Bombyx mori: one gene and its partner. The protein of the gene in region 1 purifies or fractionates together with the protein of each later gene. This does not show direct contact. Links are inferred from orthologs where the notes say so. Each region holds a gene or a part of one and is shown in the gene's direction. Other genes may lie near its edges. The genes, in order: pre-mRNA-splicing factor syf1 homolog and RNA helicase aquarius.

The links.
Region 2: the proteins of pre-mRNA-splicing factor syf1 homolog (region 1) and RNA helicase aquarius fractionate together in Homo sapiens (co-fractionation; 3 studies listed by BioGRID and IntAct, with this or other methods). This does not show direct contact. The link is inferred for Bombyx mori from reciprocal best matches to the Homo sapiens genes XAB2 and AQR.

The regions. Positions count from the first base shown.
Region 1 is NC_085110.1:13,376,790-13,381,322, reverse strand, and holds the start of pre-mRNA-splicing factor syf1 homolog, read left to right. Parts: upstream 1-1,494; 5' UTR 1,495-1,834; coding exon 1,835-1,873; intron 1,874-2,108; coding exon 2,109-4,533. Other genes in the region: zinc finger CCCH domain-containing protein 13, read right to left, coding at 1-525. UniProt on the Homo sapiens protein: Involved in pre-mRNA splicing as component of the spliceosome. Involved in transcription-coupled repair (TCR), transcription and pre-mRNA splicing.
Region 2 is NC_085131.1:6,792,652-6,796,482, reverse strand, and holds part of RNA helicase aquarius, read left to right. Parts: coding exon 1-66; intron 67-1,261; coding exon 1,262-1,479; intron 1,480-2,522; coding exon 2,523-2,692; intron 2,693-3,831.

The DNA.
Region 1 (4,533 bases):
TGAAGACGACGAAACACTCGAAGAACTAGAGCTTCTAGATGAAGACGTACTGGACACGACTTTTTTTTTATCTTTTCGCATGTCTTTGTTTGAATCCATTTTCATCTGTAATTCTAGTTCACGCTGCAACTGCTGTCTTCGTTTTTCGAGGACATCTGTGTCTGCATACTCTAAGTCATTTTGGTCCCAGTTATCGATTTCTCCTTCGGGGCTTTGACCTGACCGCACTATAACAGTAGAATGCAATCTAGTCTTCCCATCATCCTTCACTAAACGTTTCTGATCATTGTCTTTATGAGCTGCGCGTTGTTTAGAAGGACTGATAAGAGTATGCGTAGAAGCAAATTTACAACTTTTGCCGTAAGCACAGCTGCCGTGTTGGGCCCACTGTCTACAATGTTCAGTTGTTTTTTTAGCACTTGATGATTTCTTAGTACCGAGCCGATCAAACACACTAGGTCTAATAGAGAGATCTTTCGTTTTCGGCAATTCAACAGATATTTTTCTTTTTCCTTGTTTTGACATTATAGTAGAAATACATTTGTATCACATTAAACTAAAAAAAAAGAACTAAAAAATAATCTTCTCTAACCGGCACGGTGAAGTCAAGTAAATTAAAGGTTTTATATTTTTTACAAAAAGGAATTGTACAAACATTTATTTATGGTCTATTATCTATGACAAACGCTATTATTTGGAGCGATTTTTTTCTACTAGTTTCTCTTAGTAGGCAAGCGGAATGTAGTTCTCGTTACATAAATTAATATTTACTTAAATCTTTGTTTAACAACACGTTTGCATGCAGTACGGCAATGGATGGCCATAATTCCTAACATAGCTTACAAGTTACAATCAGCTTACATCTCAAACTCAAATAATAAGCGTATTATCTATGATAGCTTACAAGGCCCAAGGCAAAAGCAGAAGCGCTTTTACACGTGGAGTAGATAGGTAGGGCTCACTAAATTTGGCCCCTCGTTTTTTGATTTTTGGATTTTTTTTATTTTTAATTATTTGTTCGTCGTTTGTTCGTTAATTTTCGAATGTAAAAATTGTTTGTTCGTCTTTTAATTATTTATAATTAATTAAACAAATGATCTCCCTTAAGTTGGGCCCCCCCTTACTAGATATCTTTATTTTCATCGCTCAGATTAATTAATTTTGATCAGTTACATTATTAAGCCGCACAAACTAATACTTAAATTAGTTATCTCACAAGTGTGTATAATCTATAGATACTTAAAATTTATGGTATAATCGGATCTATTCCGTTCTTTAATCTATAATCGGATTTTTGGCAGGAACGCGAGGAGTGAAATTGTGTGATTTGTTTTATTTTGTTTACTTAGTGTTTCTTCAAGTTTAAATGTGTAATAACGGTGGTTTATTAACTGTTTAATATCTGTGAAAGTGCACAAAAGTGGGAAAATGAAACAAAGCCACTGGACGTAACTTTTCGGGATTCTCCAAAAAGTCCACTGAATCAAAATTCTCAGTAAATGACCACCATTTTACTTAGATTATATTTCATCTCACATCATCTCATCTCATTTCATTTCACTCCATATTATGATTTTTCATAAAAATTAAAATATAAATTAAAATAAAACATGACCTAAAGGTCTTAGTTACCAGGTCATAAAATCTCTTAAAAAAATAAGGTACAATCTATGATATTGTGTGTCATAGATTAAACACTGAAGTGTGTTCCATAGATTATACACATAATATATTTGAGTGTGTTCTAAAGAAATAGAATTAAGCTAATTATTCAATTACTCAACTGTTTGAATTGAATTTATAGTACCTACGGTACATATTCGAAAGCTTTAGAATGCCTCTTCTAGACGGAAAAGAAATCGACATATTCTTCGTAAGTTCAAAAATATTTTTATAATTTACAATGCTTAGTGTGCATACATATTTACTTTTGCCGACATATGAAAATACAATCAACAAATATTTTTTTCAACCCAAATTCAATTAACAAAGAAACCTTAATATATCAACTGCTTTAAAAAATCTAACCAAAGCTTTTGTGGTTTTCTGGTACGTTGATATCAAACATTATTATCATATTAATTCAAATAAAATTGTTATTGTTACAGAGTGAAGAAGATCTTCCGTATGAAGAGGAAATCCTAAGAAATCCATTTTCTGTCAAACATTGGCTTAGGTACATTGAACACAAGAAAACTGCACCCAAACATGAAATTAATATGATATATGAACGAGCTTTAAAAGAATTACCAGGATCTTTTAAACTTTGGTATAACTATCTTAAATTAAGAAGAAAACAAATAAGAGGTCGCTGTATAGCTGACCCATGCTATGAAGATGTAAACAATTGCTTTGAAAGGTCTTTAGTATTTATGCACAAAATGCCTAGAATATGGATGGATTACTGTTCATTCTTAACAGATCAGTATAAAATAACTACAACAAGGAAAGCGTTTGACAGTGCTCTTAGAGCTTTACCAATAACTCAACATCATAGGATATGGCCTCTTTACTTAAATTTCTTGAAGAAACACAATATACCCGAAACAGCTGTAAGAGTGTTTCGTAGGTATCTTAAATTATGTCCTGAAGATACTGAAGAGTATATTGACTACTTAACTTCAATAGATAAATTAGATGAAGCTGCAGTCAAATTGGCTCAACTAGTTAATAATGAGAATTTTCAATCAAAACATGGAAAGTCAAATCATCAACTTTGGAATGAATTATGTGAATTGATATCAAAGAATCCTGATCAAATTCATTCTCTGAATGTCGACGCTATTATCAGAGGGGGATTAAGACGTTACACTGATCAGCTAGGCCACCTGTGGAACTCTCTTGCAGACTATTATGTTCGAAGTGGTCTTTTTGAAAGAGCCAGAGACATTTATGAAGAAGCTATACAAACTGTGACTACAGTGAGGGATTTTACACAAATATTTGATGCTTATGCACAATTTGAGGAATTAAGTCTTAGTAAAAAAATGGAAGAAGTTGCCAAGAAAACTAATCCAAGTGAAGATGATGATATTGATTTAGAATTGAGACTTGCCAGATTTGAGTATCTTATGGAAAGAAGGCTGTTACTGCTTAATTCAGTTCTACTTAGACAAAATCCACATAATGTGGCTGAATGGCATAAAAGAGTCAAATTATATGAAGGTAAACCCCATGAAATAATAGATACATATACTGAAGCAGTGCAAACTGTAGACCCTAAATTAGCTGTTGGTAAACTTTTCACACTGTGGGTTGGATTTGCAAAATTTTATGAAAACAATGACCAAATTGAAGATGCCAGATTAATTTTTGAAAAAGCTACACAGGTAGCATATGTTAAAGTAGACGATTTAGCTTCAGTTTGGTGTGAATGGGCTGAAATGGAAATCAGACATGAAAATTATGAGCAAGCCCTAAAATTAATGCAAAGAGCCACTGTTTTACCAAGCAGAAAAGTAGCATATCATGATGATTCTGAAACTGTGCAAATGAGGTTGTATAAATCACTAAAGGTTTGGTCCATGTATGCTGACTTAGAAGAGAGTTTTGGTACATTCAAATCTTGCAAAGCTGTGTATGATCATATTATAGATTTAAAAATTGCTACTCCACAAATTATTATCAATTATGGATTATTTTTAGAAGAGCATAATTACTTTGAAGAAGCTTTTAGAGCATATGAAAAGGGTATTGCCTTATTCAAGTGGCCTAATGTGTATGATATTTGGAATACATATCTAACAAAATTTTTAAAAAGATATGGTGGTTCAAAACTTGAAAGAGCAAGAGATTTATTTGAGCAATGTCTTGAGCATTGTCCCAATGAATTTGCAAAGTCTATTTTCTTATTATATGCAAAATTGGAAGAAGAGCATGGTTTAGCTAGACATGCAATGTCTGTATATGAGAGAGCTACTACTGCCGTTCTACCTGAAGAAATGTTTGAAATGTTCAATATTTATATTAAAAAAGCTGCTGAAATTTATGGAGTTCCTAAAACACGACAGATTTATGAAAAGGCTATTGAGACTCTTCCTGAAGAGAAGGCTAGGGAAATGTGTGTTCGCTTCTCAGAAATGGAAACTCGCCTAGGTGAAATTGATAGAGCTCGGGCAATATATGCACACTGTAGTCAAATGTGTGATCCTAGAATTACAGCTGATTTTTGGAACACTTGGAAAGAATTTGAAGTTAGGCATGGTAATGAAGATACAATGAGAGAAATGTTAAGAATTAAAAGAAGTGTGCAAGCCACATATAATACACAGGTGAATATGATGTCTGCACAAATGTTGAGTTCTGCAGCACAGGCAGCTGGTACTATATCAGATTTAGCACCAGGTATGAAAGATGGAATGAGAATGCTTGAAGCCAAAGCAGCTGAAATGGCAGTACAGAGTAAAGGCAACATTCTATTTGTGAGAGGAGAAACCCAAGGACTTAAAGAGAGTTCTGACAAAGTAGTGAATCCTGATGAAATATCAATTGATGAAGAATCCGATCACAGTGATGATGATGCTGAAGAGGATC
Region 2 (3,831 bases), on another chromosome or scaffold:
AATGGGAAAACCTCAGGAAGCATGACGTTTGCTTCCTGGTAACCGTCAGACCTACACAAGGCATAGGTAAGGTAACTTTAAGAACCATTAAGTTTGCGAATACAATAAATTCGTCTGCAATTTATTTAGTTCATTTTTGTCAAGATTTTATCGTATACTAGCTTTTGCCCGCGACTCCGTCCGCGTGGAATAGTTACTTTGGCATAACGCTAAATTCTACCCCCACTTCATTTACGTAGAAAGTGAAAATATTTTTGAATTATAGAATGTTAAGGAGCTATTTAAACCCCTATTTTGAAACATTATTTATTGGTGCGCCACTTGTCTTGCCGTGATGTTATATAGCCTAGCCTTCCTCAATAAATGAGTTATCTATTACTGAAATAGTTTTTCAAATCGGACCAGTAGTTTCTGAGATTAGCGCGTTCAAACAAACAAACTCTTCAGCTTTAGAATATTATAGTATAGATGATTTTGAGAAAATATCGTGTTCTGATAGACTGCTTACGTTACTTTTAAATTTGTTTTTTATGCTGTTGTGATATAATTGTATTTATGTTGTCTATTTGTGCCAAGAAATGCTCTCCGAAATATTTAGACGACTATCACGGCGCCCCGACGTTTGGGTTTCCCCAATTTCTATGATGTGGTGTCGGGACTCACCGACTTAGAACGGAATCAAGGTCTTTCCCATAATAAATTCGAGGCATCTGTTTTTGAAATTCAAGTGCGCTTCTGTTTTTTACGTCCCGACCATCGACATTCCTAGAATCGATCCGATTCGTTGTAAGAAATAAAATTTAAATTATCTCACTGAGTAATACACGTGAAATAAAACGTGAAGCACATACGAGGAAATTGTTGCTCCAATTGCTCAAAAACTCTCAGAGATTCGTCATAGATAGTAAGGATAAGTGATGCGTACGCATAATGACTATGCCGTTCACCAAGCAATGGAGCTGTCTGAAAAAGGCAAGGGGACATTGCGGAACAATATATCCCGACCTCTGAATGAGGTCCGACTTGACAGCATGACAACACAGGATAGAAATTCCCAGTGTAGACGAATTAGAAGACCCAACCCCACCTAAAGTAGGACAAGGAAAGGAAGAAGAAGAAAGAATAAAACACGTTTTTTTCTGTTTGCGTATTATTCGTCCGATTGATTTGAAATTACATCAGTCGTTGATATCATATTGTTATAAGATAGTTCTCTCTACTATATAGACATATTCAGCTTCAGATTTGAAAATTCTTATAGGTACAAAGTATGACTACAGAAAGAGTATGGTGGATCAGGCGGGGATAGTGTACGTGAGGGGTTGCGAAGTTGAAGGTATGCTGGACGCATCCGGCAGAGTCATTGAGGACGGGCCGGAACCGCGGCCGGAGTTAGAGGGAGATTCCAGGACCTTCAGGCTCTTACTCGATCCTAACCAATACAGACTTGACTTGGACAGAGCTAGTAAAGGGAATGAGGTAACTATAACAATTATTGTTCAGGACTCTATTTTGGGTTTTGTACCAAACTCCTGTTCGCATCTACTGGGACCCAATCGTGGGGACCTTCTAGAAGAGACGGATGATCGCAAGTAAATAGTGGTCGTAGCCTAAAAGATAAGGCGCCTAGTGTACTCGTATCGAGCGATGCGATAATACCGGTGTTCAAATCCCGCATGTAGGTACTAATTTTTCTAACGAAATACGCACTTACTACATGTTCGCTAATGAATACAAGATGAAAGAATAACGGGGCTAATAAAATGAAATCAATTAAAAAAATGCACGATAATGTTGTGGCGTTTTTTTTTTATACTCTAGTGACCCCGAGGGGTCATACTAGATTTGCCGAATGACTAGGTGAACTCACATGGATCTGACCTGTTGTTGGGGCGTATTGTCGCATGGTAACACCGTCTAGTCTATTTCCGCCACAAAGCCGCCGTGAATTGAGGACATGAGTGGATGAAGGGGATATGATATAATTTGATAATTTTGCGAAAACGGGCATCAAATTTTTGTTAGGTACTTGTACTTTTTATTCGAACATAACTCCTTCATAACATGCAATTTCTAAAAAAAGCGTCTAAACCCGGAGTTTTAAGTTCTAATATGGTTTATAGACACATAACGCCTTCATTCAATGTAAAAACTCAAAATTCTTAAAAATGGTACTTAACCCCTTCATCCACTCAAGTCTTCAATTATAATTGAGACTTCACTCATCGTGGATGTCATTATTCAAAGCGTGATGTATTTGGTTACTGGTAACCGTTTAAATTCCAATAAATAATTGATTTAAAGTAATATGAAAGCTTTTACGTGAATCTGGTAACGTCTACATATATCTAACAGGAACAGCACTGTCTTTTTGAATGAAAGGCGTCCTTTTTATGTACCCCTGACAACGTACGTGTATGTGCTTAGTGATGCGCGATTTATTGGTTAAGGCGCGAAAGCGTCACCGATTTATTAAACCGATATAATAAATCGGTGACGTTATTTTAAAACGATTATCGCAGGACGTGTACGAGACTTTCAATATAGTTATGCGTCGTAAACCGAAAGAGAACAACTTCAAGGCCGTATTGGAAACGATACGAGAATTAATGAACACCGAATGCGTTGTACCGGACTGGCTTCACGATATAGTCTTGGGCTACGGAGATCCCGGTCAAGCTCATTACACGAGGTTCGTATATATTTTTTTTATATATGATTGAAAGATTACTGGTGGCCCGGAGGCCTTTCCAGTTTCACCAGGTGAGGTGGCCGAGCAAAGGCTCAGCCAGGAGGGGTGGGATTTGCTAACAACTGCCCGAGCGCCTCCGAAGGAGACCTAACAACTCAAGAGCAATAGCTTCGCGAATGAATCTACTACACGATCGGAATCGTATCTCTATTATCTTGGTAGTATCATGGTCATGGGAAGCGTGAGTCTGCGAATCAAACTGAAGATGGATTGAAAAAAAAAACACGTCTAAAATTCACGCGCCATAGAAGCGAAACCTTCCGAAGTGTTTCTATCTCATTCTCTCGCATGCTAAATCGTATAGATATATGTTTGTCTCTTTTCAGTGTCGCTTTTCCGTTTCATTGAGTTTTAAATTGTTAGGTTTATAAATAGTTTTATTTGTACCAAAGGAGTGATAACAATTGCTTTATGCGTTGAGGAGAGTGTTGTTTCGTTAAACGCTCTGTAAGATAGTTCCGACTAGTTATTGACTCGATGACGTCAGAATATTACCGTCTACTTTTATACCCAAGGTCTTTTTGGCCACACGAGCATCCTCTTACTGCATATATTCCCCTTACAACGATAACTTTCCACTCTTTACTTATCTACTATATTATATAAACTTATCTTAAAATGTCTTCATATTGAGACATTGATACCTACATTTCTTTGACACTGTGAAATGGATTTAACAGTGTCCAAGAAATTGACATTCGCACTGTTTGTTAAAAACTAAAAGTAAAAATCTTAAAATAGAATTCGTCATGATGCGTCAGAATTTATCTTGTTGAATTCCCAGAAAACCACGCGATCTGATGAAGCGTATGTACGTCAATTAGATACAATTACTTTTATCGTGTATTGAGTGTAGGTAATATATGTACATATGCGTCGTTTAATATGTATGTAATTTCATATTATATTAATGTAGATGAGAAGAAAATCTTACGATCTATTAGCATTCAATGAGTGCTCACAACCTATAGGCATCTTATAGGCATCACAAGATGCCGCCATCCGCCTTGAGACATGAGGTCGAAGACTCAATCGCATAACTGCTTCGTGGCAGAAAAGACCTGAATTTTGGTACCTAA